Linked DNA regions of Cricetulus griseus. The protein of the gene in region 1 interacts with the protein of each later gene in a pairwise test. Links are inferred from orthologs where the notes say so. Each region holds a gene or a part of one and is shown in the gene's direction. Other genes may lie near its edges.

Evidence for each region.
Region 2: the proteins of Stx12 (region 1) and Snap29 interact in binary tests that used the Homo sapiens proteins (3 or more experiments, as listed by UniProt). The link is inferred for Cricetulus griseus from reciprocal best matches to the Homo sapiens genes STX12 and SNAP29.
Region 3: the proteins of Stx12 (region 1) and Dtx2 interact in binary tests that used the Homo sapiens proteins (3 or more experiments, as listed by UniProt). The two-hybrid records come from large-scale screens. The link is inferred for Cricetulus griseus from reciprocal best matches to the Homo sapiens genes STX12 and DTX2.

The regions. Positions count from the first base shown.
Region 1 is NC_048595.1:20,401,528-20,405,177, forward strand, and holds part of Stx12 (syntaxin-12), read left to right. Parts: intron 1-3,023; coding exon 3,024-3,123; intron 3,124-3,650. UniProt on the Homo sapiens protein: SNARE promoting fusion of transport vesicles with target membranes. Together with SNARE STX6, promotes movement of vesicles from endosomes to the cell membrane, and may therefore function in the endocytic recycling pathway.
Region 2 is NC_048597.1:71,888,170-71,891,819, reverse strand, and holds part of Snap29 (synaptosomal-associated protein 29), read left to right. Parts: intron 1-1,605; coding exon 1,606-1,704; intron 1,705-2,716; coding exon 2,717-2,874; 3' UTR 2,875-3,650. UniProt on the Homo sapiens protein: SNAREs, soluble N-ethylmaleimide-sensitive factor-attachment protein receptors, are essential proteins for fusion of cellular membranes.
Region 3 is NC_048597.1:115,008,938-115,012,587, forward strand, and holds part of Dtx2 (probable E3 ubiquitin-protein ligase DTX2), read left to right. Parts: intron 1-301; exon of another isoform or gene 302-418; intron 419-1,646; 5' UTR 1,647-1,721; coding exon 1,722-1,989; intron 1,990-3,650. UniProt on the Homo sapiens protein: Regulator of Notch signaling, a signaling pathway involved in cell-cell communications that regulates a broad spectrum of cell-fate determinations.

The DNA.
Region 1 (3,650 bases):
TTTTGTTTTTGTTTTTGTTTTTTTTAAAGATCTTATTTATTACGTATACAACATTCTGCTTCCATGTATATCTGCACACCAGAAGAGGACACCAGATCTCATAATGGATGGTTGTGAGCCATCATGTGGTTGCTGGGAATTGAACTCAGGACCTCTGGAAGAGCAGTCAGTGCTCTTAACCTCTGAACCATCTCTCCAGCACAGTCACATTTTTCTTGACTTTATTTTTGCTTGTAAAGTTCTATTCTTGATCACTGGAGAGATGGTTCAGTGGTGAAGACATGGGTTCAGTTCCCAGCACTGAGATGGTGATTCACAACTGTCTATAGCTTCATTTTCATGGTATCCAACTCTCATTTCTGGCCTCTGTGGGCATTGCTCACATGTAGTGCACAGGCATGCATGCAGGCAAATCACCCATATACGTAAAATAATAAAGTAAAAATTTTATTCTCTGGGGCCAGCAGGATGGTTCAGCAAGTAAAGAAAAGTGCTTGCCATCAAGCCAGGGATCTGAGTTTGATTTTTGTAACTTATATAGTAGAAGGAAAAATCTAACTCTGGAAAGTTATTTCTAATGTCAGCATATTTCACATGCATCATGGCACCCCTGTGCCCACAAGCATACACACACACAAATGCACACACAGATAATAAACAAAAGTAATTTTTTAAAGTTTGATATGTGTGTGTGTGTATATATGTACATATGTTTATTTATTTTTTTCCCAAGACAAGGTCTCAGGCTGTCCTCAAACTCACAGAGATCTGCCTGCCTCTCCCTAGTGCTGGGATTAAAGGTGTGTGCCACCATCAGGTTCTCTATCTTTAAAGTCAACTGAGCTACATTACTCGTTTCCACTCTTAGACGCTGTGAAGTGAGAGAGTGACTGCTGTCACAGGGAGCAAATTCAGGGAGAGATGACCTGTCTGCATATGCTAGTGTTTCTGGGATGGTCTGGCTTCCTCTGCTGTCTCTCATGTTTTCTAATCCTAGCTGTCTACTTAAAGTGAAAAAAACGATGTGGTATCCCAGCCATTAAGGCTGCTGCAGTAATAGACCATAGACTAGATAGTTCATTAGCAAGCAAAATTTATTTCTTATAGTTCTCAAGGCTGAGGGGTGGTTGATCAAGGCTCTGGCATATACAGTGTCTAATGAGGGCCCTCTTTTTCATAGATAACATTTGGTTTTTGTTTTCCTTTTGGAATGGTCTTACTATCCTGCAGATCCATCTGCCTCAGTTACCTTAGTGCTGGGATTAAATGAGTATGTCCTTATGCTAGGCAGCTGATGCTTTCTTTTGGGGGGAGGGGAGACTGGTTTTGAGACAGGGTTTCTCTGTGGCTTTGGAGCCTGGCCTGGAACTCTGTAGACCAGGCTGGCCTTGAACTCACAGAGATCCTCCTGCCTCTGCCTCCTGAGTGCTGGGATTAAAGTGAGCGCCACCAAGGCCCAGCTAGTTGATGCTTTCTTATTGTATCCTCTCTTGGTGGAAGAGGTAAGTAGTTAGTTCTCTGGTGCCTCGTAAGGGGAATTAATGCTTTCACAAAAGGCCCACACATGCTAATCACTTTCTACTACCTCCTAATAACATCACTTGGGGGCTAGTATTTCAACATGAATTCAGACCATAGCCTATGACTTCTCTGTCACCCCTTAAAATCTTTGTAGAAATGGCCAGAGATTAGAGGAAACCATGATGGGAAGAACTTTTTATTTATTTATTATTTCTAAAGTATCACTTTTTTTTTTTCTTAGGGTTTCTCTGTAATTTTGGAGCCTGTCCTGCAACTTGCTCTGTAGACCAGGCTGGCCTCGAACTCACAAAGATCTGCCTGCCTCTGTTTCCCAATTGCTGGTTATCAAAGACGTGCACCACCACCGCCTGGCTCCATAGCATGACTTATATTTTATGTTCTTCCCTCTTGAATTTGCTTCTCTCTCCTTCCTTCCTTCTATCCTAGTATGTTGCAAACTGCTGGATTCAAATGCTGCTCCTATACCAGCCTCAGAGGAGCTGGGACTAGTGGTGAAGGCCACTGTACCCAGCATCGAGCTTCTTTATGTGTATTTTTTTATTGTGATTTTTTTTTTTTTTTTTTTTTGGTGTTAGATATTGAGCCCAGTATCTGGCACAAGAGGTAAGTGTTCTAAACAGCAGAGGGAAAAGCTATCAGGCATAAAATCCACTTTATTTATTTATTTATTTTGGTTTTTTGAGACAGGGTTTCTCTGTGTAGCTTTGGAGCCTATCCTGGCACTCGCTCTGGAAACCAGGCTGGCCTCGAACTCACAGAGATCTGCCTGCCTCTGCCTCCCGAGTGCTGGGATTAAAAGCGTGCACCACCAATGCCCGGCTCACTTTTTTTTTTTTTAAAGATTTATTTATTATGTATACAATCTTCTGCCTGCATGTCTGCCTGTTGGCCAGAAGAGGGCACCATATCTCGTAACAGATGGTTGTGAACCACTATGTGGTTTCTGGGAATTGAACTCAGGACCTCTGGAAGAGCAGTCAGTGCTTTAAATCTCTGAGCCATCTCTCCAGCCCCAGAAAGAACCCACTTTTGGACAAGAGATTAGGAATAGATCTTTGGAGTTTTTTTTCTAGGTATATAGGAAGCTGTTTCATGTAACCACCCTAGTCAGTGGACTATGGTAGGAACTGACCATGCAGAGCTCCTGGGGAGTGGTGAGACGTTTAAGTGAGTTCAGTGTATTAAAGCCATTAGGACTGGATGTAGGTAGTAATTACTCCTGTGTTTCTATCAGAATGCCGACATGCTTTTCTTCCCAAACAGCTGAAATTCCTGGCCTGTGCTTCCTTCAGCAGGTGTCATTGAGCATCTTTCTGCTCAGTGGAACTGCTTCAGTAATGAGGGTTTGTGAGCACAGGCATTGAAGCGCCTGTTTGAATGGCCCTCCCTTCCTTCCTTGCGCTGGGAGTCCCCGAGCGTGAAGTAATAGTGTGAGAGCTCTCGAGAAGCCATGGCATCCTGACACTTGTCTTCTCTCTTAGGCAACAGTTACAGCACTCCACAAATCAGCTCGCCAAGGAGACAAATGAGTTGCTAAAGGAATTAGGGTCTTTGCCCCTACCCTTGTCTGCATCAGAGCAGGTAGGTATCTTCTGTTTTGTTTATTAATAGAAAAGGACTTTATTCTGATAGAGTAGTGGGATGTGGAACAAAAGCTCTAGGAGGGCTCTGGTCTTGATAGATTTCTTTGAACTATAATTTCCTTACCACGTGCTTTAGTTTCAGTTCTGTTGTGATAAACTACTACAACAAAAAGCAACCTAAAGGAAAAGGTTTGGTTTTTTGTTTGTTTTGTTTTGTTGGTTTTTTTTTAGTTCACAATTCCAGGTTACAGTCTATTGTGGGAAAATCAAGGTAGCAGAACTTGAAGGCACTGGTCACATCTCATCCGCAGTCGAAGGAGAGAGAAATGAGTGCTTGCTTGTTCTTTTCCACATGTGTGCCCAGCTCTGCTTCTCCACCCTCCCACAGTTCACGATCTCCTGCCTAGGAAGTGATGCTGCCTACGGTGGGTTGGGTCCTCCTACACTAATCAGTTAAGGCAGTCTCCCGTAGATGTGCTAATAGGACAACCCAATGTAAACAGTTTCAAGTAATTATAGGTTTGG
Region 2 (3,650 bases), on another chromosome or scaffold:
ATGTTAAAGGCAAAAGAATATGGTTTTATATATATTAGAATGGCTAATCGGCTGGCTTCCTGAGATAAGAGAATTTATTCTGGGGTATCATATTGGGTCCAGGTAGTCCCAGTACTTGGGAAGCTAAGGCAGGGAAATTGTAAGTTTGAGTTTGAGGCCAGCCTAGATTATATAGCCAGGCTATCAGAAAACCAAAAACAAGCAAACAAACATACTAGGCGTTTTAGTCACTTGGGAGACTGAGGCAAAACATTACCATGAGTTCAAATCCATACTGGAACACAGTGGAAAACCCTGTCTCAAAAGATAAGAAAAGAAAAGGAGAGGCTAGGTGTGGTAGCACAAAACTGTAATTCCAGCACTCGGGATGAAGGCAGAAGGATCAGTAGTTCAGGGCCACCTCAACTACATACTTACATACCAAATTCAAGGCCAGCCTGAGCTACACAAGACTCTCAAAAGAGGACAGAGGTTATTTCTGTATATGTTTAGAAATAGAATTTCTTTCTTTGTTTTTGTTTTTGTTTTTTTTTGTTGTTGTTGTTGTTTTTTGTTTGTTTGTTTTGGTTTTTTTTTTTTTTTTGAGACAGGATTTCTCTGTGTAGTCCTGGCTGTCCTGGAACTATGTAGACCAAGCTCAGAGATCCTCCTGCCTCTGCCTTTGGCGTGCTGGGATTAAAGGTGTGCTCCACCACGGCCCAGCAAAAACAAAAATAGTAAGCTCAGTTTTGTAGCATAACTTCATTTCCTTTAGTCTCTTTGAGATTGTTTACTGTGTAGCCCAGGCTGGCTTTGAATTCATGATCCTGCTGCCTTAGCCTGCCAAGTGCTGAGATTTCAGCTGCAAACCACCACACCAGGCAATGATTTTCATCTTTGCTTTTTTCATGTTTTATATGGTTTGATGTGGTTTTGTTTCTTTTGAGACTGAGTCTCATTTAGCCCGGTCTGGCTTCAAATTCATTAGTAGATGATGACCTTAAAATTCTGATATTCTTGCTCTATCTGCTAGATTATAGACGGGCACACAACAACTTTGATTTTTAAAGCTGTCTCTGCCAGCTCTGCCTGGTGTAGTAGTATGCACCTGTAGTCACAAATATTGCAGGAATAGCTTGAGTACAAGAGTTTGAGGTAAGCTTGGAGTTCACGGGATTTACAGTAGAGAGAACTTGTCTAGCATGCACAAAGCCCTGGTTCCAATCTTAAGCATTAAAACAAACAAACAAAAAACCAACCTGTCTTCCAGAGCTTGCTTGCCTGTGAGCCTGCAGCTTTGCATTGACAGTTCCCTGTTGTATTGTCATGTCTCTTTCCGTATCTCACCTGTTGACTTGTAAATTGAGAGTCCTTAATCTGCTAATGTTGAAGGACCAGCCAGAGCTCAGACTTGACTTCTCCAGCCTATAACCCCTGTCCCATTCCCGCTCCTGTCCCTCTGCATGGCCTCAGAGGCAGCTACCTCCTTCCTCCCACCCCTTTAGTTCCTTCCTGGTATGAGTGATTACTGGGGACAGTTTCCTAGGACTTCAGAAAAGAATAGGCCAATTTCATGGAGCAGTGACCGTCAGTGAACTGTCCCTCTGGTGTTTCTTTCTGAACTAGACCCAACCCCCAAAGGGCCTGCTTCTGCTGTGACTGCTGAGGTTTACCCAAAGAACTCAAGTCTTCGAGCCTATCATCAAAAGATCGACAACAACCTAGGTAAGTTTGGGAGCTACAGCAGCCTCCAGACAGTTGATGCTGAGCACAGCCAGGGCGCCCAGTACTGCCTCACTGTCAGGAATCTGTCCACTTCTCCCCATTTCCTGCTGTCACTGTAGCCAAGCCATCCTCACTACTTTCTTGACTCCTGACCAGACCTAAGCATCCCTGGGGCTTAAGAGCATCCAGGATAAAGCCACACGGCTGATGTGAGTGCGAAGGAGCTGAACTCAGATCTCATGCTTGCCCAGCAAGTGCTCATATCCACAGAGGCATGTCCCACAGCCCACCAGGCTGGTCTATCTCAGCCTTTTTTCCTGTCCTTACTGTCTCAAACCCAAGAAGCTTTCTTGAAGCCTGGGTGAGTGACCACTAAACTTTTACTTTACAGGAAACGTAAGGTCACATGTTTCAAAGATCTCAAGAAGCATAGTATGCCAGGCAAACACCTGTCATCCCAGGTACCTGTGATTAAGATAGGGTTGCAAATCCAGGGCCAGCCTGAAAGTTTGTGAGATCCTGTCTCAACATGACAAATATAAAGAGGCTGGAGGTGTGACTCAGTGTTGGAGTGTTTCCCTAGCACATGCAAGGCCCTAAGTTTGATTCTCCAGCACTTAGGGGAGCAATGCTGTACGTGGTAGAGACCCTAAGTCTTCTCAGGCAGCAGAAGCAGGGAGATCACTCTGACTTCAAGGCCAGCCTGGATTGCATTGTAACTTTCAGGCCAGCCAGAGCTATCTATCAAGACTATGCTAAAACAAACAAACAAACAAACATGTTAACCCTGGTTATCTGGAGGGAGGAGGTAGACAGTGGCTTCTACCTACACTAACCACATATTACTATGTAGTAAGTAGATTTCTCTTCACTTCCATGTTTTTTGAGTCATATGCTACAGGCTGTGGCACTCGGTTTTAGACAGGACTCTGCAGTCCAGATACCACTGAGCATCCAGAGGGGCAAGAAGCCCCTGCAGACACTGTAACTGCCTATCACTTCCTTCTCACAGATGAGCTGTCCATGGGATTGGGCCGACTCAAGGACATAGCCTTAGGAATGCAGACGGAAATTGAGGAGCAGGATGACATTCTTGACCGGCTAACAACCAAAGTGGACAAGTTAGATGTCAATATAAAAAGCACAGAAAAAAAAGTTCGGCAGCTCTAAAGAAACTGAAAAGGAATTCTACTCCATTGTGATGAAAAGATTCAAAGCCTCTTTTAAACTCCTAAGAAATGTCATTGATTGTACAGTATGTAATTTAACATATGTGTTCAAATGTGGGTCTTAAGAAATTTTAGTTTCAATGGGGAAAAAAATGTGTGTGTACACATTTGGGTAAGATCAACACCTCTAAAGTTCTGGGCAGACTAATTGTGAATGCCTTGAGCTTTTGATACTGTGCAGGAAGAAGAAAACCGTGCATTTCTTTCTTTCACAAGTATATGCAAAGATGTGGGCAGGATGTCAGTCAGTCTCCTAACTATTGCCTTCTATTTACTCGCTGTTTCTCACTCCAAGGCCTTACTGTGAATTCATGTAAAGTGACCCTGGGTTTTGGCAGAAGGAAGGGTCCTTCCACATCTTTGTATGTCAATCATTATCGATATGCCTGCACATACACTGAGCACATTGTAGCTTTCTCCCCCTGAAAAGGACCCCTGTTAGACCCAGAAAAGGAATGTGTTGCCTTCATTACTCTCCCCTCCTGTCCTCAGTTCTTGTCCTGTATTTCAGTAGAAGGACTCAGACTAGAACTGTTGGACATGACACCTGCAGTGTATGGAAATTGGATGAACTCTTCTTCCCCACCTACTGTCATCTCATACTTGCCATCTCTGGTGGGGACAGGTTTTTTTGACTGGCTCTAGGTCACCAAGTAGGTTGATGAGGAACCCCTGTGGAGTTAGTGAGCCCTGAGTATCTCCCAAACAAAAACCTCT
Region 3 (3,650 bases), on another chromosome or scaffold:
AGGGCACAGAAGTGTGCCCTGGCAAAGCTCCCATGGCACAGCTGTGGGTACTTAATGACATCATTGCCTAATGTCTCCAGCTGTGTTCTAAGCTAGGTGCTGGGTGCTGGCCCTACACCTATGAATAGGGCTGGTCTGTGGTCATCTGGTGGGGTAGGAAGACTCGGGCGGGGCAGGGCAGGACCGTGCCTGTATGTCTTCCTGCTCAGAAGAGTTCTGGTTGGTGTCGGGAGGGTGTGCGGGGTCATGAGCTCATGTGACACTGGGGGATTCTAAGCTGGAAGTCTACCATAGAGCCCCGCCCCCTGAGTCACGAGTTGAGCATGAAGGATGTAAATTCTCAGGAGAAGATGGAGCAGAAAGAGGAGCAGAATGTCCTTGGGGTAAAGAAGCCAGCTAGCTGCTACACAAGGCACAGGTGCAGGAGGGAGGTGCTGGGAGATAGCCAAGGACACTTTAGTTTCATATCTAGGGCTTCTTGTGGCCACTGATAGTCTTTTTTTTTTCTTTTCTCTCTCTCTTTTTTTTTTTTTTTTTTTTTTTTTTTTTTGAGACAGGGTTTCCCTGTGGCTTTGGAGGCTGTCCTGGAACTAGCTCTTGTAGACCAGGCTGGTCTCGAACTCACAGAGATCCACCTGTCTCTGTCTCCCGAGTGCTGGGATTAAAGGCATGTGCCACCACCCTGCGGCCACTGATCGTCTTAGCTGTTAGTTTGGTTTTGGTTTTGGTTTTGTGTGGTATGGGCCTTTATGTGTGTTTGTATGTGTGTACAAACAGAGGTCAGAGGAGGACTTGGGATCTCTCTTTCTCTTTCTTTCTCTGTTTTTTGGAGACAGGGTTTCTCTGTGTAGCTTTGTAGACCAGGCTGGCCTCGAACTCACCGAGACTCGCCTGCCTCTGCCTCCCAAGTGCTGGGATTTAAAGGCGTGCACCACCACCGCCCGGCTGACTTGGGATGTCTTTTATCATCTTTCACCTTATGTTATGAGACAGGAACTCTCACTGATCCTGAAACTTGCTGTTTTGGCCAGACTGGTTCATAATTGGGAATACAGATACAGGTAGCATGCCCAGCTTTTCTGTGGGTTTAAACTTTGGTCCTTAGTTTGTATAGCAAACTGTTCCTATCCATTGGCCTATGTGTAAGCTACTGCCCTAGGATGTCATGGAGTCCTTGTTCCCAAGCCTCAGAACATCTGAGAGGATAGGGTAGCAGCTGTTCCTCTAGCCCACAAACAAGGCCTGACTTGCGAACTGGAGGGCTCTCACACAATGCACAGGTCATTGTGGCCTTTCCACAAAGGTCTGGGGTGACTCACAGACAAGACACACTGACTCCCAGAGGCATGGCTCAGCTGTAGAGTCTGCAGAGAATTCCCCATTAATGGCTGAGCTGTGTGGCATGTGCAGGAAGGATGTGAATGGGTAGTGATCAACACCCTCTGTCGCTGTGCTCCCTGCTCTGGAGTGTGTGCTCAAGTGGGGTAAACAGCAGGGATGTCTTTTAATTATCTGTCTGCTAGGGCAGAGATGGAGATCCACAGTTAGTTCATGACACTCTGAGGGTGGTATAGAAAAGTTGGTTTTCTTTAGCTGCCATACAAGGCCCCTGATGTGTGTGAGTAACTGCTGTGCCTTGTTCCCAGGTCCCCTGGAGGTTCTGGGCAATGAACCTGAGCCTGCAACCCAGAGTGGTGTGAAGTCTTCAGGGAAAGCAGAAGATGGCCATGGCCCCAAGCTCGTCTTTGCCACAGGTGTACCCTAGCCCTGTGGTGGTGGCTGTGTGGGAATGGCAGGATGGGCTTGGCACTTGGCATCCCTACAGTGCCACTGTCTGCTCCTTCATTGAGCAGCAGTTTGTCCAGCAGAAGGGCCAGCGTTTCGGACTGGGGAGCCTGGCCCACAGCATCCCCTTAGGCCAGGCTGACCCTTCACTGGCCCCTTACATCATCGACCTCCCCAGCTGGACTCAGTTCCGCCAGGATACTGGTAAGACCCTTCTGCCTCTCACACAGTGCCTGGCTTTGGGCTGGGTATCATGCTAGGTTTTAGTTATGGTTGTGACTGACATACCTTCCATCCCTACTTTTGAGATGAAGGAATCTAATAGGAGGGTGCTGTAATTGATAACTTCCAGGCTGGGGATGTAGCTCAGTTGGTAGAGTGCTTATGTAGCATGCAAGAAGCTTTGGGTTCTAGCCCCAGCGATGCATAGACCTGACGTGGAGTATATGCCTGTAATTGTAGCATTCTGGAGGTTGAGGCTGAAAGGTCAGGAGTTCAAGGTCATCTTTGACTGTATAGTGAGTTCTAGGTCAGACTAGGCTACACAAAATCTTGTCTGAAGAGAAACCAGCCATTACCTGGAAGAAATGGACCTTGTAGTAGTGGCAACTGTGCTGGGAGCTCATGCAAAGGCTCTCCTGGCTCCTTCTTTCTTCAGCAGGCCGGCTAACATGGTTTTAGGATACCATGGTAGTTGAGAGAGTCTGGTGGTGCTTACCTGTAATTCCAGTACTTGGGAGGCTGCAGGTGGAGGGTTTAAAGAGTTTGGGACTAAATTTTTTTTTTTTTTTTTTTTATTAGGATTTTCGAGGCAGGGATTCTCTGTAGCTTTGGAGGCTGTCCTAGAATTAGCTCTTGTAGTCCAGGCTGGTCTCGAACTCACAGAGACCCGCCTGCCTCTGCCTCCCGAGCACTGGGATTAAAGGTGTGCACCACCACCACCTGGCTTAAGCTGTTTTAAGGGGAGGAAAAAAAATAAAAGCATTATCAAGTGTGACTCATGTTTGATAAGTAAACTGCTAGCCTCTTTTGCCATAGAGGGTGAGCCCTTGCTCTGTGACTTGATCCCTTGGTGCCCTTTGCCTTGTGAGCTTCTATAACCCTACAATGAAGTATAGACAGAATAGACTCTGCCAGTCCCTGAGTCAAATAGCAGTGTGACCGTATACCTACAGTGATGAGGTATTACGATAAATTTTTCCGCCAAAAGCTGCCTGAGCCCCACCGCCACGTGTGAGCTTTACGCCAGCCCCCTGCCCAAGTTAGGGCCCAAATGAATACACAGAAACTTGAGTTAGATACAATGCTGCTTGGCCAATGATTAGGACTTCTCATCTGCTAGCTCAGTCTTAATTATCATAAATCTATATATTTTATAAGACTTATCGGGCACCTTATTGGTGTCCCTCCTTGTCGGTGGATCACATTGTGCCGCTGGAGCAGGAACGAAGGGGAAAAGAGGGCCTTCCTGTTTCTCCTTCACTTAAATATGAGTCCCCTTGCTATGTCACTTCCTGCCTGGATCAGCACTTCTCTACTACATTTCCCAGAATCCTCTTTGACTCCTAGTCCCGTCTAACTTGCTATCTCATTGGCCAAACGGTATTTTATTTAACAATAAGATAAACATACACAGTACATTCCCCATCAATGAGGTTGAGTTATTCAGGGGAGAAAATTGAGGCTGGGGATGTCGCTTGGTGATAGGACATATACCTTGAATGTGTGAGGTTCCTGGGGTTCATCTTTGGCAACACAGACATGCACACACACGGAGACATACATAAGCAGACATATACCACAGACATACCACATATACACCACAGACACATGCACATAATAAGTGCATATGCAGACATGTACAG